2 linked regions of the Arabidopsis thaliana genome follow. The protein of the gene in region 1 interacts with the protein of each later gene in a pairwise test. Each region holds a gene or a part of one and is shown in the gene's direction. Other genes may lie near its edges. The genes, in order: PIP5K9 and CINV1.

What was found.
Region 2: the proteins of PIP5K9 (region 1) and CINV1 interact in binary tests that used the Arabidopsis thaliana proteins (3 or more experiments, as listed by UniProt).

The regions. Positions count from the first base shown.
Region 1 is NC_003074.8:3,033,708-3,046,948, reverse strand, and holds PIP5K9 (phosphatidyl inositol monophosphate 5 kinase), read left to right. Parts: upstream 1-2,029; 5' UTR 2,030-2,284; exon of another isoform or gene 2,285-3,080; 5' UTR 3,081-3,272; coding exon 3,273-4,489; intron 4,490-4,584; coding exon 4,585-4,752; intron 4,753-4,846; coding exon 4,847-5,012; intron 5,013-5,131; coding exon 5,132-5,242; intron 5,243-5,422; coding exon 5,423-5,610; intron 5,611-5,702; coding exon 5,703-5,860; intron 5,861-5,932; coding exon 5,933-6,092; intron 6,093-6,243; coding exon 6,244-6,523; 3' UTR 6,524-6,559; exon of another isoform or gene 6,560-6,646; intron 6,647-6,762; exon of another isoform or gene 6,763-7,934; intron 7,935-8,149; 3' UTR 8,150-8,169; downstream 8,170-13,241. Other genes in the region: RABC2b (RAB GTPase homolog C2B), read left to right, coding at 8,828-8,963, 9,239-9,307, 9,409-9,474, 9,577-9,698, 9,771-9,899, 9,990-10,085; RABE1e (RAB GTPase homolog E1E), read right to left, coding at 10,570-10,659, 10,759-10,851, 10,944-11,006, 11,093-11,190, 11,287-11,352, 11,535-11,635, 11,719-11,791, 12,190-12,262; AT3G09890 (Ankyrin repeat family protein), read right to left, coding at 12,791-12,871, 12,955-13,050, 13,139-13,233. UniProt on the Arabidopsis thaliana protein: Plays a role in sugar-mediated root development. Interaction with CINV1 induces repression of CINV1 activity and negative regulation of sugar-mediated root cell elongation.
Region 2 is NC_003070.9:13,115,594-13,131,581, reverse strand, and holds CINV1 (cytosolic invertase 1), read left to right. Parts: upstream 1-6,253; 5' UTR 6,254-6,464; intron 6,465-6,754; 5' UTR 6,755-6,773; coding exon 6,774-7,139; intron 7,140-7,211; coding exon 7,212-7,643; intron 7,644-7,734; coding exon 7,735-7,925; intron 7,926-8,005; coding exon 8,006-8,373; coding exon of another isoform or gene 8,374-8,399; exon of another isoform or gene 8,400-8,823; coding exon 8,824-9,122; 3' UTR 9,123-9,500; downstream 9,501-15,988. Other genes in the region: AT1G35560 (TCP family transcription factor), read left to right, coding at 14,458-15,483. UniProt on the Arabidopsis thaliana protein: Cytosolic invertase that specifically cleaves sucrose into glucose and fructose and is involved in the regulation of multiple tissue development including primary root elongation, root hair growth, leaf and silique development, and floral transition.

The DNA.
Region 1 (13,241 bases):
TGATAACAAATCCTTAAGAAAAAAAAAACAAGAAAACAAAATCTGTCCGTGGTAACCACGTGTATTGTGCACTAGCCACTTTACGTGTATTGAGAAAATGTTTTTACCAAATCATCTAACTAATTGTCTTTCTCCAATGCTAGGAAGTTGTTTGTTAATTTAAATTAAAAATAGAGGAAATATCTTTATGAATCTGCAGCTAATATCATGAATCTACAAATTACTATGATTATAACAAAACTCCAACTTGCTGTAGAATTGGCAAACAAATAGTCAAATGCAGTAATTTAGTGTTTGATATACAAATTAAAGACCACTAATTAAAGGGACATGTACATTTGTAATAGCTATGATACCATGAACACTTTAATTTTTAAAACAAGACTGTTGTTTCAATTTCAGTTCATATAATTAGTGATTTTATTTTTCTCTTTTTACATACGGTGGTGAGATGATTTATATCCAAGTAAGAGGGAGAATATTGCCCTAGTACCAAAACAAGTATGAGAAGGTATGGCGTACTTTAAAAGGAATAGAAATCGAGATCGAGACTTTCTCTTTGGACGTTTTCTTGAGGTATACGGATTGAAGTATCGATTTATGATTGGCCAATACTTAAAATTTTATCTCCATCGGATATCATTCCATACTATATGCTTCTCTCGATCGTTAATTCGCTGAATAGACTCTCCACGTTAAAATACAACTAAAAAAAAATGATTGATGATGAAGAACGTTTTTTGGTCTCGCAAAATTAATAAATTATTAAAGTAATGGGACTGGGAATATATATATATATATATAACAAGAAAGAGAAAACGACAATATAATGGAATTTTCTTTTAGTAAGTGGTAGCCAAACCCCACTACTCGGATCGGTGGCTGTAGTTGTTTGATTTTAGATAATATGCAAAACTTAAGGTACTTGGATAGCTAGGTAGATATTGTGAAATTACTCAGATTCTAAAACGAAAATATGATGATATGATCATTTTTCTTACTAATATACTGTATATCATTCTCGATTGATGTCTAAGTCTACTAATAATGGGAAAAGATAAGTTTTGTTTTAAAAAAAATAGAAATGAGAAAATAAAAGTTGTGGCTATAAATGCCCTATATTACAGATTTATACTCTATTTTAAGACATTTTCATAAGACGGTAGATCGATTCTATTTCTATTCTTCTGGTTTTTCTCGCGTCTCATATGTAATTCGTAAGTTGTACGTAGCATGGGGATATCATACTTTTTTCTATACTTTTTTTTGTCATTATAAAGTCCTTTTTCTATTGTTAATTAAGCTTCCTTTTTTTTTGGTTAGTACGTTTCCCTGAATACAAAAATAATAATTAACTTTTTTGATCACTAGCTAATCCCAGCATCATTATAATAATGCACCGAAAAAGATATGTAAAAGTGTTTAATCATATAGCACATCACAATGACTACATATCATTAGAACATTCCTTCGTTAACAGTATTGAATATTTATACTACTTTCTAATGAATACGATTAAATTAATTCCCTCATAATTAATACTACTTTATAGCTAACCCCCAGATCTCGTTATTCAATTAAGAGTAAGGCATGTAATGCCGATTTAGACTGATTTCAAAAGATTTTCTCGAACAATAAAAATATGTAATCAACTTCTTTTCTTTTTCTTTCAAACTCAAATTTGTTGGGTCAACTTGTAGTATATTCAAACTCAAATTGGTGAGCAGAAGTTGACTTAAAAATATTGGGAAGCACGTGGATTAGTGTAAGAAAAACACAATGTAATGTTTCCCTTCACCGGCCAAGCAGGTCAACATCTCTACCTTCTAAACACACATCAATTTTTTGTTGAATATTATATTTCATCGATTAAACAACTAAACTTATATTTGAAAAAATATCTCAAACCACTCGGATAATAGAAAGATCAGAGTATTGATAATTATTAAATCTTTGATTATTTCACCAGCTACAAAACTTTTCTAAATAGATATGTATATAAACAAAACCACTCTTGTAAGAGTAATAAGTGGGGTTAGATCAGAAAATACCCAAAATAAAAGAATAAAAGAGGCATTAATTAATGCAAAGGTTATATCCGTCATTTTGGTGTAAAGTAAAAAGCTTGAATTTTTATGGAAGCTGAAATAAGAAGGCTGTTATTGTGGCGCTTAGCTTTCGGGATTTGGTCCAGTCGTCTCTTTTAGAAAGATTTGACCAACACTGAGGCTGAAGAAGACGAAGAAAGAAGAAGAAAGTGAAGAGCTTTGAGCTTGTCCGTACGGTTTGTGAATCTCCTTTACTTCCCCAGTTTCCTTATTTAGTGAGCTTGATTTGGTTTTTGGATCCGGTTTCATTCTCGAATTCGGGCATTTCTCTGTTTTTGGTTCTCTTTGGATTGAAGAAGTCTTTAACCGGGATCTTCGGTTTTTGTTGCTTTCGTTTTATCTTTGTTGAAGATTGAAGATTGAAATGGAGTTGCTTGTTGATTGTGTTAATCAAAGTTTTTAACTTTTGTTTCCATCGACACGACTCTGATATGTACTTATATAGAGCTCTGATGGGGTTTCATTATGAATTTCAAATTCAGATTGAAACATTGAAACTTTGTTATGAACATTTTTTGTTTTTCATTTGCTCAATTCCTAAAAAGTAGGATTCTTTCTAGCTTTTTGGTTTGGTAAATTTGGCATACTCTGCCTTTATTTGGGAGACGTGGAGGAATCTCTTCTTTTTAAATGTGAATTCAATATAAAAGTTTAGATTTTTTTTTATATAAAGGCTTTATGATTGTAGACTCGTCTTCTTCCATAAAAGGCTTTCTTTTTGATAGGAAAAAGGGATTTTTGTTTGCTCCTCTCTCATTCTCTGCCTCTCTCTGTGAAATTTAGAAGTTCTTGTTCTTTCAAGTGGGACCAAGAATCAGATGCGTGTCTTAATTTTCTTGTTTGATAGAGATTTGAGCAAGTCTTTGCTTTTGTGACCATTTATCTATTTTCATGTTTTCCTCATTAGTTTTAGATTATTGCATGCATCAAAAGTTAGTTACTCTTTTTTATTCTTTCTGATTCTGATTCTAGATTCATACATCGTGACTTGGAACCTGATTCTTGCATCTGCTTTCTTCGTTGAATAGCTGAGCACATTCTGTTTCACCAGTTTACTGGAGGTAGCTTCATGTTTTGTTGAAAGAATGTTCTCCTTAAGGCTGTGAAGCCTTTTGCTCTGCGGTTTGTCTGAGCGTTTCTGCTTTAGCTTCTTTGGAGATTTACATGTCTGGCCTTGACGTACGAGGAGCAGTTTCTTTTGCTGAAAGAACTAAATCTGTTGATGCACTTACTAAGAAAGAGATCCTATCGGCGCTAAACAGTGGAGAAGTTTCCGAAACTTCTGAGGATGCTAGGTTCAGAGTTAGGGAGCTGGTTCTCCCCGATGGCGAATCCTACAGTGGTTCTTTGCTTGGAAATGTACCCGAGGGACCAGGGAAGTACATATGGTCAGATGGGTGTGTTTACGATGGAGAATGGAGGCGTGGGATGAGACATGGAATTGGAAATATGAGATGGGCTTCCGGGGCATCTTATGATGGTGAATTTTCAGGCGGTTATATGCACGGTTCAGGGACCTATGTGGATGCTAACAAGTTAACGTATAAAGGAAGATGGCGGCTTAATTTGAAACATGGGCTCGGATATCAGGTTTACCCTAATGGAGATGTCTTTGAAGGTTCTTGGATTCAGGGATTGGGAGAAGGACCAGGGAAGTATACTTGGGCTAATAAAAATGTCTATCTCGGGGATATGAAAGGCGGGAAAATGTCAGGAAAGGGTACACTTACTTGGGTTACCGGAGATTCCTATGAAGGAAGTTGGTTGAATGGAATGATGCATGGTGTTGGTGTATATACGTGGAGCGATGGAGGTTGCTATGTTGGGACATGGACACGGGGTTTGAAAGACGGTAAAGGCTCGTTTTATTCAGCGGGAACCAGAGTTCCGGTAGTGCAAGAGTTTTATTTAAATGCTCTTAGAAAGAGAGGTGTTTTGCCAGATATGAGAAGACAGAACCAAGTTGCTTCCTCGGTTAATATGGAAAACCTTAGAGTTGGTGTGAACCGTAATAAGCTCTCAAAAGGGAGCTTAATAAACTTAGAACAGTCCCGCAATGGAAGGGTTTCTTTAGAAAGACGTTGGAGTCTTGAAGTATCTATTGAGAAAGTGATTGGACATGGTTACTCGGATTTATCTACGGCAGTTTTAGATAGCGGAAGTAGTGTGCAGTATAAAGCTAACATACCAATCTTGGAGAGGGAATATATGCAAGGTGTTCTGATCAGTGAGCTTGTGGTAAACAACGGGTTTTCGCGCACATCCAGAAGAGCAAAAAGGAAACACAAAAGACTTGTTAAAGAAGCTAAGAAGCCTGGAGAAGTTGTTATTAAAGGTCACCGGAGTTATGATCTGATGCTCAGTTTGCAGCTTGGAATCAGGTATGCTTGCTCCTTCTAAACCTGTGCCCTGTGAGCGTGTTTAGCTCTAAATTCATCACCGAATATTGTTGTTACTGAACTAGTTCAAACGTTAGATACACAGTGGGGAAAATTACGCCAATACAAAGACGACAAGTTCGGACAGCAGACTTTGGACCTCGGGCTAGTTTTTGGATGACTTTTCCTCGAGCTGGCTCCACGATGACTCCTCCGCACCACTCGGAGGATTTTAAATGGAAGGACTATTGCCCAATGGTATTCAGGTTAGAACTTGTGTACTGCATACTTTTTTCTTAGTAGTATGTTAACTATAGTAGTTGTGTCCTTGGTGTTTATATTCATTGCTAAACCTTGTAGAAACCTGAGGGAGATGTTCAAGATCGATGCAGCTGATTATATGATGTCCATTTGTGGAAATGATACTTTAAGAGAACTTTCTTCTCCAGGGAAGAGCGGCAGCGTCTTCTTCCTGTCGCAGGATGATCGGTTCATGATCAAAACACTCAGGAAATCTGAAGTCAAGGTTTGTGACTACTTACATATCCACCATCTCTGTTTTCACATTATCTTCTTAGTTTTCTCCATGTCTTTGCGTAGACTCTTTGTCCGTCTGCCCATTGAGCTTCCAGATTTACTGTGTAGGTTCTTCTGAGGATGCTTCCAGATTACCATCATCATGTGAAGACATATGAGAACACCCTCATTACTAAATTCTTTGGCCTTCACAGAATCAAACCATCAAGTGGTCAAAAGGTCCTGAACCAAAATACCTCAAGATTCTGATTTTGATTTTTTATTATCATTAGCTTTGAAGTTGCCGACATTGCTGCCTCTAAATATGATGTAGAGTAGAACTCTAACATTAGAGCAACATTTGGAAATCCAAATCAATCTTAAAACTAACTATGTTTGAAAATTTCTCTTCCATTGCAGTTCCGTTTTGTGGTGATGGGTAACATGTTCTTTACAGATCTAAGAATCCATCGGAGATTTGACCTTAAAGGTTCGTCCTTGGGACGCTCTGCAGACAAAGTCGAGATAGACGAGAACACGATACTTAAAGATTTAGATCTGAACTACAGCTTCTTCTTGGAGACTTCTTGGCGGGAAGGTTTACTGAGGTATTACTCTCTCCAGGACCTTCTTGTAAGATATATACATTTATCAATCCATATTCCGCAGTTTAAAATTTCTTTTCTTGCTGTGTAAACAGGCAACTAGAGATCGATAGCAAGTTCTTGGAAGCACAGAACATAATGGATTACAGTCTTTTGCTCGGTGTGCATCATCGAGCTCCACAGCACTTAAGATCCCAATTGGTCCGTTCTCAAAGTATAACAACTGATGCTCTGGAAAGTGTAGCTGAAGATGGTGAGATTCTTTTTTTCATCACCTGTAAAATGATTCATACTATTTTTCTTCTACTGATGATGATGAAAGCAGATACAATCGAGGACGACATGCTGTCTTACCACGAAGGATTGGTTCTCGTTCCTCGGGGAAGTGAAAATACTGTAACTGGCCCTCACATCAGAGGCAGCAGATTACGAGCATCCGCTGTTGGTGATGAAGAAGTAGATCTCCTTCTTCCTGGAACAGCCAGGTAACTAACTCTCACCTGGTTGGAAAAATGAAAAACTAAGACTTAACAAATGCTGATGACAAATAAATGGAATACATATGATCCAGACGACATGGAACTGATTGAAACTTAGTCCAGTTCGGTTTTTGAAAAGAATCTCTATAAAATGCAGGCTGCAGATACAGCAAGGAGTGAACATGCCGGCAAGAGCAGAGCTGATACCGGGAAGAGAAGATAAAGAGAAGCAGATTTTACATGACTGCTGCGACGTCGTACTCTACCTTGGCATTATAGACATCTTACAAGAGTACAACATGACCAAGAAGATTGAACATGCTTATAAATCTCTTCACTTTGATTCTCTTTCGATCTCAGCCGTTGATCCAACATTCTACTCCCAACGTTTTCTTGAGTTCATCAAGAAAGTATTTCCACAGAACAACAAATCATAGACAGAGAATTGAGTACAGAGTTTTATGTTTTTTTTTGTAGAGATAAAAAAGAATTCTATGTTGTAAGTATGTTGTATACAGATCTTGAGAGCTTCAATAAATAAGTAAAAAACTAATTCTCCTTTTCTTGATTGCATGAAGTATTTGGTTTAATTATTAAAAGGCAAAAATATAAATAATCAAAAGTCACAGAAAAGCCCTAACGTGTTGTCTTCTTCTTCTTCTTCTTTTGAAGAGTAAGAAATCAATGTCGTCCCTGGAAAAGAAGAGGAAGAGGAAGACTACGACTAGGACAAAGAAGAAGAAGCTGTCCCCAAATCAGTCAATCCCTATGATTTGCTATTGGACATCATCGCACGCGTCCCAAGATTGTACTATCCGACTCTCTCACTCGTTTCCAAGAGCTTTCGATCCCTCCTAGCTTCACCGGAGCTTTACAAGGCCAGCAGGTCATTCTTGGGTCACACCGAGCGTTGTCTCTATGTGTGCTTACGGTGCTGTCCTGGTTATCGCTGGTTCACCCTGTGTCGGAAGCCAGATCAAACCCTATCCAATGACACCACTGAAAAGAAGTCAAGTGGGTATGTTTTGGCAACAGTCCCCATTCCTAGTTTTCATAAACCGCGCTTTTCGAGTCTCGTGGTGGTTGGTTCTGATATCTACTACATCCACGGGCCCTCCTCTAACGTCTCGATTCTGGATTGCCGGTCTCACACGTGGCGCCAGGTTCAAAGCTCGATTCTAGATTGTCGGTCTCACAGGCGGCGCAAGGCTCCAATCTTGCCGGTGGAACATTCGTCACTTACTGCTAGCGTCCTTGGTGAAAAGATATATGTAGCAGGATGTTACAGCGATATGCATTTAGGTTCTTCTTTCTTTGAGGTGTTCGACACGAAAACGGAAGTTTGGGTTAGTGAGCCCATCCCTTACAGCGACAGAAAATACAACTTTCTTCACCCCAAAAGCATTTGTATTGATGGAAAGATCCATGTAGTGACTGACAGTGAGGGGGTTGTTGCTTACAATCCCAAGGAAGGTATATGGTTGGATTTGGATCAGTATATGCGTTCAGATTCTTATTGTGAGATAGATGATATTTTGTACTCTGTTTATAGCAGAACGGTTATATGGTATGACACTGAGGCAAGCAGGTGGAGATATTTGGAGGGCTTAGGACAACTTACGTTTCCTCTTGGTGCTTCTATTAGGGCTTAGGAAAGTTAGCGGTTTTGTGGGACGAGGATTTGCTTTATGGTTTGACTAGTTTCGTCTATAAGAAGAAGATTTGGTGTGCGGAGATTTCGCTTGAAAGAAGCAAAAGTTGCGAAAGTTTTGGGAAGTTGAATGGTTTGATCATGTGCTTACAGTGCCTAAAGAATGTGAATTGGTGAAAGTTCTTGCTGCTACTGTTTAATAATTGCGTCACAAGGCTTGAAACGAGGTCTCTTTGTCTCTTTATTCACTTGTAATCATTTGATTTCACTTGCTGATTGATTGTTAAGCTTACTTTGTTGTGACCAAAATGCTTTTGATAACTACGGTCGTCTCTTTACATATGTGTAAACAAAACAAAAAAACACTTTGGAGAGTAATTGATTTGAATGGTTAATTTTGCAACAGAAAGAGTTTTTTTTTTTTTTGGTTATGTTTTAAAGTGTAAAAAAAGCCTTTGTTCATGTACTTGTTCCAAAACTGATAGTAACTTGTAATCCATACAAGTGAACTTGTGAACACTCTTTATAACAACTTATCTTTCATGAGAGCTTCACTAAGAAAACTAGTTTTCCTTTGTGTTTTTTTGGGTCTGAATCGCCGCAAACCGCAAAAGATAATTGCAAACGTAACAGTAGTGCTTTGATTGCATGAAATATTTGGTTTTATAATAAAAAGCTAGGAAAAAATAAAAAAAAATTTGGGAGGGAGCAACAAACACGTGGATACAAAACAAGACGGACTTTGGAAGAAACGTTGAAACAGAAACAGATACGTGTCGTGAAGCGAAATGTCGGAGAAAGGAGAAGAAGCAGTAAAGAGTTCTTTAATGTTTTTGACAGTATTTGTTCAACAATTCTCATTAACGTTTTTCATTATTTGTTTTCTGCTCTGTAAAGAATAAAGTTTCTTAATTTGTTGTATGAATCATAGATTTCTCTGCAGAGGCAAAGTTTTCTCTCTTCTTTTTTCGATTCATTCTTTTACAAGATAACATAAAAATCACTTCTTTTGTTTGTTTGTTTATCTAAGTTGAATTTGATTTGATCTCTTTACTGTAGTATTAGATAGAGTGAGAGATTGTAGAAGAAAATGGGATCTTCTTCTGGGCAAAGTGGGTATGATCTATCTTTCAAGATCTTGTTGATTGGAGATTCTGGTGTTGGTAAAAGCAGCTTGCTTCTCAGCTTCATTTCCAGCTCTGTCGAAGATCTTGCTCCCACCATTGGTAATTTATCGTTCGTTCTTAACAGTCTTAGAGCTAGAATCTTGACTGGTCAAACTTCAAATATCTCTTTGTCGACATGATTTTTTTTTGCATTGAAGGCTAGCTTATTGTTTGTGAGCTAGACCACTGTCTGGTCAAAATTCAAATGAAGTTGAAGTTTGAGAACTTGAAGTTTTCTTTATGATTTTCTGTTTGAAAATAAACTCGGAAAACATAACTCTTGATGCTTATCTGAATTTGAAGCCTGCTTGAGTCTGATCAGTATAACATTGTAGGTGTTGACTTTAAGATCAAACAGATGAAAGTAAGAGGGAAAAGGCTGAAACTTACAATCTGGGACACAGGTAAAAAAGCAATAAGAGCAATTCGAGTTTTTGGAACGTGTGTAGTTGGTTACTACAAAACTCATGGTCCATGTGATTTCTTGTTTGTGATTGTTGTGTAGCTGGACAAGAAAAGTTCAGAACATTGACAAGTTCTTATTTCAGAGGCTCCCAAGGAATCATTCTCGGTAATGATATATGAGATCATATAATTGTCAGTAGCTGTTGTCGTAATAAGTTCTCAAGACTTGTATTAATACTCTCTCCGGATTTTCTTGGTCATGGTGCAGTTTATGATGTCACGAAAAGAGAGACATTTTTGAACTTGGCAGATATTTGGGCTAAAGAGATTGAGCTATATTCGACTAACCATGACTGCATTAAGATGCTCGTTGGCAACAAAGTTGATAGAGTGAGTAGCAGTAGTAGTAACACTTGTAGTCAAACAACTTGAGATCGGTTTCACTGATAGTTGTCATTGCAGGAATCAGAAAGGAAGGTTAGCCGGGAAGAAGGAATGGCTCTAGCGAAAGACCTCAATTGTTTGTTTCATGAATGTAGCGCAAGAACCCGAGAAAACGTGAACGGATGCTTCGAAGAGCTAGCTTTGAAGGTAAGAAAGAATCTTGATGATCCCTTTTCACTTTCAAAACCGGTCGAAACTGAGGAAAATAAATAATAGGAGAGTTGCAAAATGAAACAGATAATGGAGGTACCTAGTCTTTTGGAAGAAGGATCAAGCTCTGTGAAGAGAAAACCGGATTACCGAGCTCATCAAGGCCGGTGTTGCAGCTCGTGAGTCACCTTGTTAAAATCGGGTCGGAAGTAGCCTCTTTTGTGTGTAAATTTCTCAAGAAGCTTGACTTCTCTGTAAATTTATCAATTCCTTCGATCTTTCTTCTTCTTGCCTCGGCGGAGATTTTGTAATAAGTTTGTAACCCCAGAATATATGAAAAAAAGGCACTTCATGTTCTTATTATCTCGTGATTACTTTTAGTCTGAAATTTTATATCTGTCACAAAACACAGGAACGAGATAACTCTCTAATTTCGAGCCTTGAAGCCGTAGCTTACACACATAACATCTGCATTTCATTAATTCAAAGTTTAAGCACTTAAACATTGTCTACCATTACCAGTACAGTGTTTGGCCATCGAGATAGCAAAATACACACAGCTATCAATTAAGTCTATCCTCCTACTAATAAGAACATAGGACGATCCCTTGAATGATGCGAAGAAGATTAAAGACGGTAAGAGATTAGAAACAGGTTCAGAGAACTTCTAAACATAACTGCAGCAAGCTGATTTCTCATTTGTAGAAGACGATGAGGCTTTGTTAGCATCTTGTTTAGTGATCTTGATCCCTTGGGGCTGCAAATCAACAAAGACAGTATTTGATTTTCCTCAGCAATATTTACAGTTTCATAATCCGAGTATCAAGCGAATAGTAGATTCCATGTGCTTCTTTACCTCGGCTTTTGTATCGCTTTCTGTGAGTCTTTGTTTTATGTCTTTAGCGATAGAAAGGAAAACCTGCTCGACATTCTGGTTTGTTTTTGCACTCTGCAACAGTTTCCAATCATATTTAAGAAAATGAAAATCTTCAAACAAACAATGAATGAGGAGACAAACATATTATATATTTTCGCACTCACCGTCTCAAAGAATTTGATTCCATACTCATCAGCAAGAGCTTGTCCTTTTGATGTTGGGACAGCCTGTAGAATAAGATGCAGCATCAGTATCCTACGAAATGTAGGCAAAACATGGTCAGGATTGTGAACAGAGTACAGAGCAAAATTACCCTTTTGCTTTCGTCCATGTCGGCTTTGTTACCGACCAATATCTTGTTGACACTATCGGACGCATGCTGCTCAATGTTTTTCATCCAGTTCCTAATGTCTGGAGAAGCAATTTGTGTTAGTTCCCACACAAAGGTGACTTTTAAGTTCTAGTAAGAATATAGTTCCTGGTACAAAGAAAAGCCAGAAGACCTACTGTTGAATGATGACTCATCTGTTACATCATAGACGAGTAATATACCCATCGCTCCTCTGTAATATGCTGCAAAGAAAAATGGACCAAAAGAGTTACAAAGAAATGTCATCTGAACTTTATTAACAAGAAAGAAAGTAAACAAATAGACTTAGAATGATGAGTAATCATCTAACAGAGGAATCAGCAGATTCATACACAAAACATAAAGAGTGATCTTCACTTCACATAGAGCAGAGAGAAGTTTTAACCTGTGGTTATAGTTCTAAAACGTTCTTGTCCAGCAGTGTCCCATATCTGCAATTTGATACGCTTCCCATCAAGTTCGACTGTTCTTATCTTGAAGTCGATTCTGAAAAACATGAAACGTACTTAAACCGAACTTTTCAACAATCTAACAAGACAAGATACAAAGTCAAAGAAAGAAAGACATACCCAATGGTAGTAATGAAACTCGTGGTGAAAGTATCATCCGAAAAACGCAGTAACAAGCAACTTTTTCCCACACCTGCGTATACACACACACACATAAGTACGAAATGAAGAGAAGAAAATTTAACACAAAAAAATGATGATTTGTGCAACTCTATCTGAACTCATTGTAAAATCAAGTTAATAAAACTGATTCATTAGTTCTTCACAAAATCTAAGTTTGAGATATTGCTTATAATTGAGCCAAAACTTCCAAAAGGGAACTACGTTGATACTTCAATTAAAAGAGAGTGTAGCTCATCTACTTTGTTGATCAAACACGAAAGAAAAACAAAAAACGCAAAAAAGTTCAAAATCATAAACCTAATTCAGATCGCAAAACAGGCAGGAGAGAAGATTCTCGGATAAAAATGCAATAGTCTCTGAACCTCGTTTGTTCAGTACTTCTTAAGAGATAGAAAGGCAGAGACTTACCGCTATCACCGATGAGGAGAAGCTTGATGAGATAATCATAGTCTGAACGAGCTCTTGCCGGCGCAACCGCCATCGGAGAAGATGTTAGTAATCACTATTCTGTATCCTCTTTCTAAACAGAAACTAAAACCGAGCTTTTGCTATTTTCCCCCGGAAAATCTCTTCTCGCCGGAGACAGCCAAAAAGAAAGGAAAGAGGCAGAATAAGTGCTCTGCTTGCTATCAAGTTCAAAGCTGCTCATTGGTGGATCATATTTTATTACTTTTTACTGTTTTAGTCTTTTATTTCTCAAGTATTCACACTTCAATCCACCAACTTATTAAACCGCTCAATTTCCTTCTTGTTAATATAGATGTTTGAAATGTTTAAAATTGATTCCAGTTTTCTTACAAAGAAACTAGTATATTTTGTACTACTCAAATCTGATAATAATTTCATGATTAAAACCGACACGGAAGTTCTTAATTCCATAGGTATCAAAATTTGAAACCTTTTGTATATGAAACCACCAAAAAACAGGATTAAGAAAAAGTTAACATTTTGCTACTACTTCACTGAGTCGCCAAAACTGGCCAATGAACTCTGCAGATTTGCAGCATCACTAGGAGATCATTGAGTTGTTTATCGCTTCTTCGAGTATCCTCTTAGCATCAGTGTTTAAATCAGCTAATTCACCTGGTGTCTGCATTATCACAACCTTGTTATTATCGCTAACCATACTTCAAAAGCCAAAGATAGAAATTGCTTTCAAATGTTTTTTTTCACCTTCCCATAGGAGTTTTGTGTCGTTGGTGAAGCCCCGGAACCCAGCAAAAACCTAACCACGTCAACATGTTCACCTCTTGCTGCGTGATGCAGAGGCTGTGAACAAGAAAAACTTTGGGATGAATTACATTATAGAGAGCAAGAGCTAGAGGGAATGAGGCAATTGAAGATTGAGAATACTTACAGTATCACCTTCTATATCTGCTGTTTCAATCATTCTCTTCACACATTCAGGACTACTAGCTCGGCTAAAAAGAAGCTGTACTATTTCCAAGTATCCTGCGAGC
Region 2 (15,988 bases), on another chromosome or scaffold:
TGTTACTATACGAGTATTTGCCGACTAACATATTTAGTCGTAAAATAACGACTAATTGACTACTAATGTTCATGTTGTCGTATATGCGTCGTAAAACGGTCGTGACGTAGTCGTCAAAAACGACGACTACATTTGTTGTCGCTTTCTGTAGTCGTTGTTTATCTGTTTTCTTGTAGTGATAATAATACATGGATTAACAATTTCTTTTATGTACATGGATTTCAACTCTATAGTTTTATGATTGTTTTCAAATTCAAAATCGGTAATAATAATACTTGGTACCATCTTCATTAAGTTTTATGATTGTTTTCAAACTCAAAATCAATAGGTAATAAGTGGATTAGCTTATGTTATTTATACTTTATTATCCACCACAATTTTGAAGTGAGATTTATAACAAACCGTTTCAAGATGATAACTCTAACATTGAACTTAATCACACTCTAGAACTAGCAATAAACGACACTTGAAACATTTTATTTGGGTTAACAAAACCAAACTGTAATTATACCATATTAAATTCTATAAGTTTTTAAATCAAAATCGAATAAGAATTATTGGCTAATATCATTTATATATTATTCTATATCTTATTTCGTGAATTCTATCATTATATAAAAAGATACATTTTTCAGTAACGTTAAATTCAATGAAAACGATTGTACATGTTTTATCTCAAACGTTTGTGTTAGTTATGGAAAGACTACATGATTGTAACGTAAAGTTGCTTTCTTTCTTTTTTTTTGTCTTGCAAATGCCAAAATACCACCGAATGGTAGAGCCACTGGACAAGAGAGACTCGGCAATGTTCATTGATCTAATTTATGAGTTTACATAGTTTTAAACTTAATTGTTAATGTTTATATATATATTGAACATAATTACTTTTTCATTTGATACAGATAATTACATTTTTGTAAGGACTTTAGTTCAGTACACTTTTATAGTGAGATTTGAGGTTATCAACTTCTCGGATTGGTTTGGAGCATCTAAGATAATCCTAATGCTCTATCACTTTCTTTGTAGAGATAAGAGCTATACAATGAGTTTCGATTCGGTTAATTCTCTCCACAAGATAAATAATGTGCATCGATCTTTTAGGTTTTAGTTCAGACTTTTTTTTTCGGTTTTGGTAGTTCCTAGTTAATTCACATATTAGAGATTTATTAGTTTGTTTTCTAAGTTTTACTTTATCATTTTATATTTTTGGTTGTTTGTATGTTTTATTTTTCTGGAATTTCGTTCTGTGAGGATATCTAAATATTTTTTTCTGACTTTTATTTTAGAGAGAATATTAATTATTCCCGATGATATATCGTTGTATGTTATAAAGTTATATTAATACTATTCAAATGATATGAGAGTTCGATCCATACTTTTCTAATATGGTATCAGAGCCCGATCTACACATACTCAATCTAATCCATATCAGTTCGGCCCAATACTTGCCCCATCGATCCATGCTCGAATAAATCAAGATTAATGGCTAGAAAAATCATCATCTTGAGAGATCGTATTAAAAATATTTTACATTAAAAGTTGAGTAGGATTTTAAGTGGTATATATAAGATATGAATTTGTATACCTATCGCCGATTAGTTTTAGGTTGAAAGTTTACAGTTTAATAAAAAAATGGTTTGGTAGTCTTCTATTTGTGCCGAGTCATGCCTTGATTATTCTATGAATTGATATTTTTGTCGATCTGAAAGAAGGAACACGAGGAACATATGGTTAACAGCTTAAACACTATTTGTTTATTCATCGACGTGTATTGCATTTTCTTGGTAGCTTTTCTTCTACGATATGTTATTCCTAAATCCTAACCACCTTATAATTTATATCATTTTTCTCTACAAGATTTTTTTTTGTTAAATATTTTCCTCTACAAGATATAGCTAGCTATTTTAATTTTATATAATCAAAGCATCTATTCCACGATATGTTATTATGTTATCCTTATATTCTAACCACCTTATAATTTACATCAATTTCCCTTACAGGATAGCTATTTAGCCAATCATATCATTTTCTTTAATGTTATTTTGATAGTTTTCCAGAGTCCTGTTTTATACTCCTAGTATAATTTTAATTCATAGCATATAATTTGTGAAGTCCTAGTTGGATAACAGTAATAAAATATTTGTTGGGTGAATCTTCAATATACTTAATTGTTTTACCTTTTTCGACCTATAGCTTATATATGTGAATATTGAAATATATTTTCGTAATATGCCTCATATTCTGAATTTACTTTTGTATAAACAGGTATAAATATATATAAATATTGAAAGATATTTTCGCAATATGCCTCATATTCTGAACTTACTTTTGTATAAACAGGTATAAATGTGAAATATGTTTGAATGTTTTTATAGAATGTTGTTATAGCTATGACTGATGGTATAGAAAATGAAATTCAATCTTTCAAATTTAAATTATAAGAAGTAGTGCAAGTCTTTCTTTTTTTTGGTCCACATAGAAATTTTTTTTAACCCAAGAACAATAGGATTTAAAGCCCTTCATGCTTACTATATATATATATATATATATTTTTGGGGTTAAAATTCATGCTTACTAGCTAGTTAGTTTAGGTAATGTGACTTGATTAACGATGTCAGTTGTTAAAGCCACTAGGCCAGAAATCATTATAGCAAAAGTGCATCGTGAATGTGCTTGCGGTTGTTGGAATGTTCGAAAACAAGCATTTGCGTTTATAAACGTTAATAAACACAGTTTATGCGATTGATGTAAAGATTGGAAATAGATAAGTTATTGAAACAATTTTGAATAGTAGTCGATAGCATGTGGTGATGATTTTTCAATAGTATTTGTTATACGTGAGTGTGGTAGATGTTAAAATCAGGTGTGGTGATTTTAGTATCTCACAAAAAGATTGCAATTAAAAAAAACATAAATAAACAAAATATTGAATTAAATTATATAAAAATAGAAATAAATCAAGAAAAGATAACGGTACGGTGCTTATTACTGATGTTGAGTTAAATTTTTTTTTTTTAACAATCGATATTAATTAGAACTCAAAAAAAGTTAATTTCGAGGAATATTGTTTATATATGTGGTATGATTCGGTTTGATACGAATCTTTTGTGTCAAATTATCTGTTTTTTTATTTGTATTACAAGAAATTAAAGATAAATGTAGTATGATGCAGATCGGTACGAATCTTTCATGCTAATTATCTGTTTTTACATTTACACTATGAAAAATTAAAAAAAAAAAATTGTGCTAATTGAATTACACAAAAAATGAAGAAGTAAATGTCGTAGCTAAAATTTATGGGAAACAGAAGTGTCCCCATTTTTGGCTGTGCTCTGTCCTAATTATGCATAACATTACCTAGTTATTACAAAAACAAAACCTTTTTTGATGAAAATTTGTCAATTAATATATTTACCTTTTAACTAGAGTATATGGATATTATATTATCTTGTGTGACAAGTTTCGAAATTGCATTTTACATTATGCTATTCTAAAATTATAGTTTTAAAATGTTCCAAAGATCTGAAAATAGATACACCTTTCATTAAAGGGAAAAAACCCTAGTAGCCTCCTTCTCTCTCGCTTAGTGCCGCTTCTCTTCTGTTCAAAACTTGGCCGGCGCGTGGCGGCTCTCATAGCGCCGGCGTCGGTCCCTCATGTCTTAGTTTTAGTCTGTAGTCTTTGCTTTCTCTTCGGTGTGGTTGCGTGGTGGTTCGACGAGAATTTTGATGTCTGCAATTTTGGTTTTAGATCTGCAATTTTGGTGAGGGAGCTCTTAATTGATGGATTTGGAGATTATTAGAGAGGTGAGTTGCTTCTCTGAGTGGTGTCTTGGAGCTTAGATAACGGATCTATCAGATCCTTTGCTACTGTGGTTGTTGATGGACACTCTCGACGGTATGGTTCTTCCCCTCCCAGATCGGATTTGAACTTTTGTGGCTTAGTCTCGTTGTCTCATTGTTCTTCTTCTATATTACATGTTTGTTTGGGAGACTTGTATCGATGGTGGTGACTCTGTTTGTGGATTATATCTTTAGATCTTTGCTCTACCTCTCTATTGTGTCCTCTTACTTGTTCGGAGTTGCATTTTGGACTGGTTTCGTTCTTGGTGTTGGCCACTTTGATGGTATTTCGTTGCTGAGCTACCTACTAGCCTATCTTGTTTGGAGTTAGGTTCTAGGCAAAGCAATGGATTCGTTCTCTAGTTCTTCTCTGGGGGACGTCATCAGCTTTTTGTCTGTAGGTGTGCGGAAGCTGCATTCGACGAGGGCCCGCGTGTAAGAACTAGTGATCTTAATTGGCTTATCTCTTGTCGATCTCCAAGGCTTTTGTCTTGTCCCTAGTGCATTTGCTATCTCGGTTTGGTTGGTGAGGTGTGATGGTGTTTGTATTTGTGTCTCTCGTTCTGGTGGCTTCTTGCTTTCCTCCCTGTCGGATTGCTACTGGTTTGACTTCGGTGTGAAATCTTTCCGATCTTATTGGTGCTTCCGACGTTCACCGTTTCTTTGGGGAAGCTTTGTGAGAGCTTTTGGTTCCTTTGCGCAATTTTAGTGCTTAAATCTTCGTTTTTTCTTAACGGTTGATTTTTTTTAGATATTTGTTTCTTTGTTTTCATTGCTGGTCTAAATAGTTTCTCCGTTTCTTTGGGGCTTAGCTACCCTCTTTTAAGCTTAATTTCTCGAGACATTTTGTTGGTCTGCCGGCTTTTATATTTGAAATGGTATCCTACTTTGGTTTCTTAATAAAATTCTGGCGACAAAATTTTTTTTTTTCGAAAGATCTTGTCATAAATATTTCCTACTGCCTTTTGCAATACGTTACAATGTTGACAATTAGTAAAATTCCTCATTTTTTCCTTAAGAAAATATATAATACCAAATGATGATGATTCCACGTATAGATGTCTATCTCATTGCGATACTATATTAATATAAATCAATTTCTTCCAATTTCTGACCATCATATTAGTATTATATTGACTTTTATATTTGGTCTGCATTAATTATATGTTCCCCATAAATAGTTAGCAAATCCGGTTCGGATATGTAGGTCCAAAGCCTTTTGTATTTTTATCCACGCAAATTTTTCTTGAATCGTACGTAAATATTGAATTCCACGTTTCCATATACAAAACCAAATCAAATATAATTACTTTTACAACAACCCCATTTACGATTTGAGAAACAAAAACGTAAATAACTTACGAATTTTCATGTTCTTGAATCTTTTCAGCAGGAAAATAGTAAAATAACTCAATGTTTTTATGGAATAATTAAAAAAGAAATAGAGAAAACTGTTTAATTTTCAAATTATTCCAAATTTTGTTAGAAAAGAAGTTGACCTTGAATATCTAGTTTGATTCTCTATTTGAGATAGCTATTTATCCCTTTTAGTTTTTAGGTTCATAAAAATGTACAGTTTTGTACTTTGCACATTATCAAAAATGTAGAAGAAAAGTAAATTATTGATTTGATTGGTGACTTAAAATTATATAAATTTGTTTTACAGATAAAAAAACTATAAACAATACCAAAATAATTAAAAATAATACTAATAAAAATTAGAAAATAACGACTTTACATGATATTTTTGGATATCAGCTTTGAATGGTAATTCATTATCAAAACACTACAGTTTGTATATGTTTGACAATTATCATTCACAAAATTTTTATCAAAAACATTACAAAAATTTTTAGTAGAAAACTTTATTATACAACTTTCTCTGCTTATTTTTTTACAGTTTTACACTATTTTTAAAGCTCTTATAATTGTAGTTAACATCAAAAAAATTTGTACAAATTTGTATTACCAATCGGACTCATTATTTTTGCGATTAGTAATAACTAAAGAGGTATTAGTCCGATTCGGATCTAATATTGGACTTAAGACATTGGAACTTGGGACGACCTCGAATAAACCCTAACAACTTGGAGAGATAAATACATTTAGAGGCTGTCAATTTTCTAAAAAATTAATACAAAAATCATAGTAAATATATTATTATTAAATACCTAGTAAATGTACTGTCCACCTAACACTTCAAAAAAAGTTTGGTGTATCGGTCAAAAAAAAAAACTGGGCAACCGATAAAACAAGTTTCCAAGAAGAAAAACACAAACGCCAAATCAGCCCAAGTCACAAATCCGTCGTCGTTTAGTCCACGTAGACTTCACAAAGTCTACCTTTTTCACCGGTTATAACCGGTAAACTAAAATTCTCCTCTCTTTTACCAGTCCCGTTGAAACTCCGTTAAACTTTTCCGTTTCTCCGTCATTATAAATATCAATCTTCTTCACTCTATCGTTTTTTTTTTTTCCTTCTTCTTCCCTCTCCTATAAATCTCTCCGTCTTCTCTCTTCTCTCATTTCACGTCGGAGATCATTTTCTCCTCCTCCGCCTCCGCCTCCACCGCCACCGCCACCGCCGCCGCCGACGACTTTTCTCACTTACTCAACACCAGAGGTCTCTCTCTCACTGTTTCTTCTTCTCCTTTCTTTCGATTTCGTTTGGTAGATTTTTAGATCTGATTTTTTTCTGGTCTCTGTAGCTTTACTTGAAGTTGACTCTGTTTCTCGTTATAGATCTTGATCTGTTTATGATTTCGAATAAGAACAGCTTCAAGCATAATTTTATATTCGAATAAAAATTAGATGCAATGTGTTTATTTCGCGTGTTCCAACTACACGAGTTTTTTTTTTTTTTTTGGATTAGGAGTTATAACAATCTCATTGATCTTATTGTTTTGATTTTAGATCTTGGTTTAGTGTTATAATGGAAGGTGTTGGACTAAGAGCTGTAGGATCACACTGTTCTTTATCTGAGATGGATGATCTTGATTTGACTCGAGCTTTGGATAAACCAAGATTGAAGATCGAAAGGAAGAGATCGTTTGATGAAAGATCGATGAGTGAGCTATCGACTGGTTACAGTAGACATGACGGTATACACGATTCGCCGCGAGGTAGATCGGTGCTTGATACGCCTCTTTCTTCTGCTAGAAACTCCTTTGAGCCTCATCCTATGATGGCTGAAGCTTGGGAGGCTTTAAGAAGGTCAATGGTCTTCTTCCGTGGTCAACCTGTTGGTACTCTTGCCGCGGTTGATAATACTACCGATGAAGTCTTGAACTATGATCAGGTAAAACTATCGAAAAGTTTTCATGGTTTTATCTCAAAACGTTTCAAAATGTTTTTTTTGCGGTTGTTGTAGGTGTTTGTGAGGGATTTTGTACCGAGTGCGTTGGCGTTTCTGATGAATGGAGAACCGGATATAGTGAAGCATTTTTTGCTTAAGACACTTCAGCTGCAAGGTTGGGAGAAACGTGTGGATCGGTTTAAGTTAGGAGAAGGTGTGATGCCTGCAAGTTTCAAGGTGCTTCATGATCCTATCCGTGAAACGGATAACATTGTTGCGGATTTCGGTGAGAGTGCTATTGGACGTGTGGCTCCTGTAGATTCAGGGTTCTGGTGGATTATTCTTCTTCGTGCTTATACCAAATCTACTGGAGATTTGACTCTCTCTGAGACACCAGAGTGTCAAAAGGGAATGAAACTGATCTTGTCTTTGTGCTTAGCTGAAGGGTTTGACACGTTTCCTACACTGCTTTGTGCTGATGGATGTTCCATGATTGATCGAAGAATGGTATTAAAAGCAATCTTTGATCGAAACTGATTGTTGTTTCTTGTTTTGTTTGGCTATTAAGATTGATTTCTTTTTTTTCCTGTATTTGAAGGGTGTTTATGGGTATCCCATTGAGATCCAAGCGTTGTTCTTCATGGCTTTGAGATCTGCTTTGTCGATGTTAAAGCCCGATGGAGATGGCAGAGAGGTCATTGAGAGGATCGTTAAGCGACTTCATGCCTTGAGCTTCCATATGCGCAATTACTTCTGGCTTGATCATCAGAACCTCAATGACATTTACAGGTATAGTTATTTCATTTGCTTTAGATGATATGTAGAGTCACAAAAGATCACTATAACTTATAGTACATTTGTTTAAAAAGGTTCAAGACTGAGGAATACTCTCACACGGCGGTGAACAAGTTCAATGTGATGCCTGATTCTATACCCGAGTGGGTTTTCGACTTCATGCCTCTCCGTGGAGGCTACTTTGTGGGAAACGTAGGACCTGCCCATATGGATTTCCGGTGGTTCGCACTCGGTAATTGTGTCTCCATACTTTCTTCATTGGCCACTCCAGATCAATCCATGGCCATTATGGACCTCCTTGAGCACCGGTGGGCAGAGCTTGTAGGTGAGATGCCTCTCAAGATTTGTTATCCATGCCTCGAGGGCCATGAGTGGCGCATCGTTACTGGCTGTGACCCCAAGAACACACGGTGGAGCTACCACAATGGTGGATCTTGGCCAGGTCTTTTTTCTTTCCCTGGAGACTGATTGCATGAGACATTTCTTATCTCGCTTAACTGAGATTTTCGCTAGACCTAGCCATTAGGGTTTTTTTCGGTTTGATTTGGGTTTCAATTTTTTTTTGTAGACTGGCATAAGAACAGAAATATTCATTTAAGATAGTTTAGCTAGATTTTAGTTATAAAAACTCAGTACTTAGTTTAGCTACAGTTTGGTTGTGGTTTGGATTATTCATATGAACGTATAGATACATTTTAGTTTGGTTCAACTTTTGTATCTTATGATCGCATTTCTTTCTTAAATATATACATTTGTGGCAACCTTTGATATATTTTGTTTTGAAATGTTTTGATAGATTGAATAATGAACATCATGTTGTGTAGTGTTAAATTTGTCAATAAAATTGAATACAGAATCTGACCGCCTTTTTGTTTCTCTGCTCAATGTACAGTTTTGCTGTGGCAGCTAACAGCAGCGTGCATTAAGACAGGGAGACCGCAGATCGCAAGACGCGCGGTTGACCTCATAGAATCGCGTCTTCACCGAGACTGTTGGCCAGAGTATTACGACGGTAAGCTCGGAAGGTACGTTGGAAAACAGGCAAGGAAATACCAGACTTGGTCAATCGCAGGTTACTTAGTGGCGAAAATGTTGCTAGAAGATCCTTCACACATTGGTATGATCTCTCTTGAAGAAGACAAACTCATGAAACCAGTCATCAAGCGATCTGCGTCTTGGCCACAACTCTGAAAAACCGCTTTAGGTTTTTGTTCCGGTTCTAATATTTGCCACGATATGATTTTTTGTTGTTGTTGTTTGTATGATAATGTTATTGAAAACTTGTGCGGGGACATAGACTTTTTATTGATTGCTTTCTTTCTTGCTTTGCAAGTAAGGAAAAAGAAAATGGGAAAAGCTCGTTTGCCGTTTTTATCGAAATTACACCTTTTTTTTTAATAATTTGCATTTTGGCGCTATTGCAATATGAATATCTTTCAATAAGCTGAAATGACCGATTCTTATTGGTGTAATAGGTGAAATTATCTTTATTATAATCATGATTTGAAGTTAGCCTCCACTCAAATTCAATACCAAAAGCCTCACTCATTTGGTCGATTGATTTCAGTACATATATAATTAGGATAATGTAACACTATTCTAAATTAAACTTATCCATATAATGAGTATTTTACTCTTACGGTAAAAGTGTATTTGAGTATAAATACTTTACAATGTACACATTAAACACTTAATGAGAAATAATACGATTCTGTTATTTTTACTTTCTCTTTTTTAACTCTTGTTTCTTCAGCTTGAGTTTGTTATAGAGGAGAAAGAATCCTAATATTGTATCAGAGCTTCTCCGATCATGAGCTTCTCTTCAATCGAAATTCGTTCTCATTCATCTCTTTCAATTTCTTTCTGATTCATGTTGTATCATTTTCCTCGCGATTCTTCAATTCGTGTTCGTGAGTGAAATCTGAGTTTCTTCATTTTCATTTTCTGACCTAATTGCTTCCGATTCTCTTCTAAATCTCTTTTCAAAGTAATCTCTATCATCTTTTGATCTTCTTTCAACTATGGAATCAAATCCATTTCGTCCATCTTTTCTTGATGCAACATCGAACAATTTCAATCCGCAACATCACAGTTTTTTTTTTTTGAAAATAATGTTAAATTAGATTAAAAAAATAGTGTTTTTACTACAAGTGCAACGTATAATTTATATGAAATAAATTGAAATCAGAAAGTAGAATGAATAAGCTTTGTGATGTTAATCGACAAGTATAAATACTTTACAATGTACACATTAAACACTTAATGAGGAATATTACGATTCTGTTATTTTTACTTTCTTTTTTCTCTCTGGACTCTTGTTTCTTCGGCTTGAATTTCTTACAAAGGAAAAGGAATCCTGATAATCCATTTGACTAAATATCGACTATAGTCTTGTATTTAGTATAGTAAAACAAGATGATGTTTATTTAAATGATGTAAATAATTTTCTTGTCTCATTTATGTCAAAAATGTATATATTTCTATTTATTTAAATAAACTGCACAATAATCCTGGTTTTGTATTCTGATGGGCATCACTCGACGTTCATGTAGACAAAAGAAGAATGAGACTTTATTGTGAATTGATGTACATTGATTTTGTGTCAAACAATTAAACAAAAATATTTGTCGGCTAATACAATTCTTTGGAAAAAGAATCATTGGGTCATTGACTCATTGGCCCATTTCCCAAATCACATATCCAGCCCGAGTCGGCACGATACAGCATCGCCGGCCTTTTGGTATGGCACAACAAACTGATTTTCACGTGGTTTAAGTTTCTCCTTTTGGTAATATTAATACACGTGGTTTAAGTTTCTCCTTTTTTCTTCAAAATGTACACCATTTGACCGTTAAGTCAACATTTCAAGTTTTCTAAGCTAGCTATTTTACACCTCCATTTCTCACCGAAGCAAACTCTATTTATGACATTCCAATACACCAGCATATAATGTTCTCGACGAGGATTCCATCATGTCCAAAAACTGGTTTTCTAATTAGTGCTTTCACCGGAAAATCTACCAGAAAAAGTGGCTGTTAACACATTTGAAAACGGAGTAAGATCGTCAACATTTTTTTTTTTTCTTTATAACTTGTGAATATATATTACCTCGAAACGAAAAAGTTATTTACAAAGTCAGAAGACAGACATGCCCAAACAAAATTTAAAAGCTAAATTTGAAATACATTTAACTGAAACAGAAAAATTAACTATGGAAGAACCATTGAGACAAGAGTCTCCCACAACATTTCATGCAAAGACGAGTTAGAAGATTGTCAATATTAGTCACATGCTATGAGAGAAGGAAAAACAAAGCATTGAAAAAGTATTCTAAAATTATCGGAGGAAGAAATATTGAAGTACGATGTTGTAGGTGATCGGGGGCAAATTGATCTTGGAATAAGTAAGCATAAAACAGTAGCAGAGGCTTGGGAAGGCTATAGACAAAGACGACACAGATCTACTCACCTTCAGGCCATAGAAACAGCTCTCTTACAACAAAGAAACGATAGAACAGAGGATGAGGACATTGTTCTTTGGAAAGGTAAAAATGACGTATATAAGCCACAGTTCTTGACTAAAGAGACCTTGAATCATATGCGGACCATATCCATGGACGTTGATTGGTATAAGGGTGTTTGGTTTGGTCATTCCACGCCAAAGTACTCTTTTTGTGTTTGGTTAGCAGTTCTTAACCGACTCTCAACAGGAGACAGAATGACTCATTGGAATGGAGGTCAGTCAGCCGCTTGTGTGCTATGTCACAACGCTCCCGAAACCCGGGATCATCTCTTCTTCTCCTGTGACTTTGCTTCGATAGTTTGGAGTAACTTAGCAAGAGGAATCTATGGAGACAGATTTTCTACACATTGGCAAGACCTGATACAAGCCATCTCCGGCTCTTGGATGACACCGCTTGACAGTTTCTTTGCGCGATATCTCTTTCAAGCCACGGTACACACCATTTGGCGCGAAAGGAACGGAAGGAATCATGGAGAGAAACCAAACTCAGCAGCTCTTTTAATCAAATGAATAGACAAACAAACTCGGAACCAGCTTTGTTCGATCAAAGCAAGTGGAGATAAGAGATATGACAAGGGCTTACAAGCTTGGTTTGCGATGAGAGAATGAGAAACAATTTTTAGATTGTATTCTAGTTTTTGCTCCAGTTTTTTCAACAAAATGTTGCACATAGATGTAAAAACGCTATTTTTTTTTTGGATTTAATTTAACATTACATTAAAAAAAAAAAAAAAAAAAGTACGATGTATATCACAAGATTATAGAAATACGAGATTCTATGTATCTAGGTGGTATCAAAGAGAAGTGAAAGGTTGAGGAAACTTTTTACAAGAAATGTAAAATGGGATGAGTGAAATTAAAGGGAATGAAAGAGAGTAGAATTGTTTTTTGGATGAGAACTCATGAGATCATACCTACACACAAGACCAACCCAAAGCTAAAACCTGTAAAGCATGGGCTTTTTAGGCAGTAGATGATTCTAAAACAATTTAAAAGCACCATTTTAGAGATATATATGGTCGAAGAGTGATTAACACTTTCACTCTCTCACCATTTTATTTTATTTTTAACGTCTTGCCTACACATTTAAAACATTAATTGGTTGATACTTTTATACTTTTTTAAGCAATTAAAATAATTTATTTAAAAATAAATGTATATAAAAAAATATTAATAGTTTATTTCTTAGATACTCAATGAGTCTCCATCCAATGAAGGTGCTCTAACAGAATCTTGAACAAGGCTACATACTATATGGTCTTGTAAATGAACATTTTCACTTTTTGGAGAGAACAGAGACAAGACAATGGACCGTGGGAGGATCCAGAGTTTCAGACCAAACATCACGTTTTTTTATCACTCGCTTCTTGTACTTCTTCAACTATCTCTGACTGTTTTACTGTTTTCTTTCACTGCTAATGCTTACACGTGCATCTGTCTCAACAATTATTTTTCAGGAAAATAAAAAATAAGAGAGATTATATATACAGTTCAAAATATAATTGCATATATATATATATATATATATATAAATTATATAAAATATACTGTTCAAATATAAAGTTTTTTTTATAGTGGTTTGGTTTCACTTTCATTGTTATCTATAATTTAGCTCACGGTGCGTACATGTAACTTACATTAAGAACAGCCAAAAAGCTCAAGCTCGTGTCCAAATTAAGATTCCGAATGGTATAGCTAGCAATATAATATATTATATGGTTTTGGATTGATAAAAACATAAAACCTAATAAAGGAATTTAATTGATATAAAAAATGAAACAATAATACAGTCTAAATATTCAATTATGAATTAAAATATTGCAATAAATCAGTTAATAGGCATTAATACTAATATGATTATACATACATGGTTAATCACTAAGAGCAACGTGAATATCAATAAACTAATTGATTTACTACGCTTGCATAATTATTTTCCTTAAAACTTTTTGATTTCGAATACTTTGTTAACACCCTGATACATGTGCATATAACATAGTAGGCTGAAATTGGACTATTCTTAGACAGTTTTCACATCTAGAATGAGATGTATAGGTTTCGTTGAGAAAAATTGTAGTTGAGATGATTAGTTATATATAACCTATGTCTGTGGGTGCTAATTTGGCAGATGGGAAAAGAATTGAAGCCTTTATATATAGTCTTCAATTATTAGTATCATCGTTAATAAAAACAGTGGTCCTTATCTCTCAACAAGTCTTTCATCAAATTCGGATAACAAAGACAAAATAGAGAATCAAAGAAAGAGACATTTGTGTTATTATCAGTAAATTATTAAAAAAATAAATAATATTAAAACACTATTATATTGGGTGTAAATTGGCTCTATGATTAGTGATTAGTTTTTTTCTTTTCCCCCATAGAACATTCAACGTTTCCCACCCATGCAAAATCCAACCTAAAAGCCAAACTTTATAAGGAAACCAACAAATAGATCCCTACAATCTAAAGATTGCAACAAAAATGCCCCAAAATTATAATCTTAGACAATCCACACCTTTTTCAATCATGTAAAACACTTCCAAACTTTTCATAGTCCATTGCTAAAAATAGTTTTAGTCTCACAAAGTTAGACCAAAATTCAATACATTCGGCGCATAATTATTTTTATACTACAATATAGTAAGTGTGATAATAACCAAACAAAAAAAGGTTAAGTGATCATTTGGTGTGGAAACAGCAAATATTGGTCTCTACTCTCTACTACAAAAACCTAGTGGGACTACAAATGAAAATAAAACACAAAAGAAAAAGAAAGTGAAAGTCTCTCTCTCTTTTCTACAAGCTGCTTCATCTTCTTCCTCTCACTCTCTCTTTCTCCAAACAAGTAAACAACAGTCAACACAAACTCATAGCCCCACCAGAAAAAAAAAATACTCCAAGAATTTATAGGTTATAAGTAAAAATTCAGTACAAGTTTGTTTGTTTGTTTATTCCATTTTCTTGTGTGTTTTTTTCCCCATAATTTATAAATTTTATAAGCAATATGGAGTCCCACAACAACAACCAGAGCAACAACAACACCACTGGTTCGGCCCATCTGGTCCCATCCATGGGACCAATCTCCGGTTCAGTCTCATTAACCACCACTGCTCCAAACTCCACTACCACCACCGTCACCGCCGCTAAAACACCCGCAAAACGACCGTCCAAGGACCGTCACATCAAAGTAGACGGACGTGGCCGGAGGATACGTATGCCGGCTATCTGCGCAGCACGTGTCTTCCAACTAACACGTGAGTTACAACACAAATCGGACGGCGAGACTATAGAGTGGCTGCTCCAACAAGCGGAGCCAGCTATCATCGCAGCCACCGGAACTGGAACCATACCGGCGAATATCTCTACTTTGAACATCTCTCTTCGAAGCAGTGGCTCTACTCTTTCAGCTCCACTGTCTAAATCTTTCCACATGGGAAGAGCGGCTCAAAACGCTGCCGTTTTTGGGTTCCAGCAACAGCTTTATCATCCTCATCATATCACGACAGATTCTTCTTCTTCTTCTCTTCCCAAAACATTCCGTGAAGAAGATCTTTTTAAAGATCCTAATTTTCTAGATCAAGAACCCGGTTCAAGATCACCTAAACCGGGATCCGAAGCTCCTGATCAAGATCCGGGTTCGACCCGGTCAAGAACACAAAATATGATACCGCCGATGTGGGCACTAGCGCCAACGCCAGCCTCCACAAACGGAGGTAGTGCTTTTTGGATGTTACCAGTCGGAGGAGGAGGAGGTCCGGCTAACGTTCAGGATCCATCACAGCACATGTGGGCGTTTAATCCGGGTCATTACCCGGGTCGAATCGGGTCGGTTCAGCTAGGGTCTATGTTAGTGGGAGGTCAACAGTTAGGGTTAGGTGTTGCAGAAAATAACAATTTGGGGCTATTTTCCGGCGGAGGAGGAGACGGTGGTCGGGTTGGTCTCGGAATGAGTCTTGAGCAAAAGCCTCAACATCAAGTGAGTGATCATGCTACTAGAGACCAAAATCCTACTATAGATGGTTCTCCTTGAAAGACTTCATGATTTCTTTGGTTTTTAAAAAGTGTGAATGTGTGATTTATTGCAACTTTTGTTGAGGACTCCAATGTTAATATGGGTTTTAGGGTTGGCTTTTCGGGATTGCCAAATTGTTATTTAAGAAAATGGATTTATTGTTTTGGTTGCATAATAATTAACGAGTTTTGCAACTCTTTTTATTCGATGCAAAAGCATGTCACTTAAAGGAAATATAGTTGAATCTCTATGTGTAACATAATGGACAAAAGAATAAATTAAATATTTATCAGAATGCCTTTTCTCTTTTGTTGAAGGGTATAATTGAATACACCTTCTTTGACCGCTCATATATTTCAAATATTTCGAATTGATTGCAGTTCGTAAAAAGCTAACGAATATAAATAAAAAATTATATGGTGTAGACTGTAGTGATAAACTTTATTGGGTGCATGAGCACCACATGTTTGGATACAAATGGGTTTTTAGATTTATATATTAATTCTCTTTTAAAATTCGTATT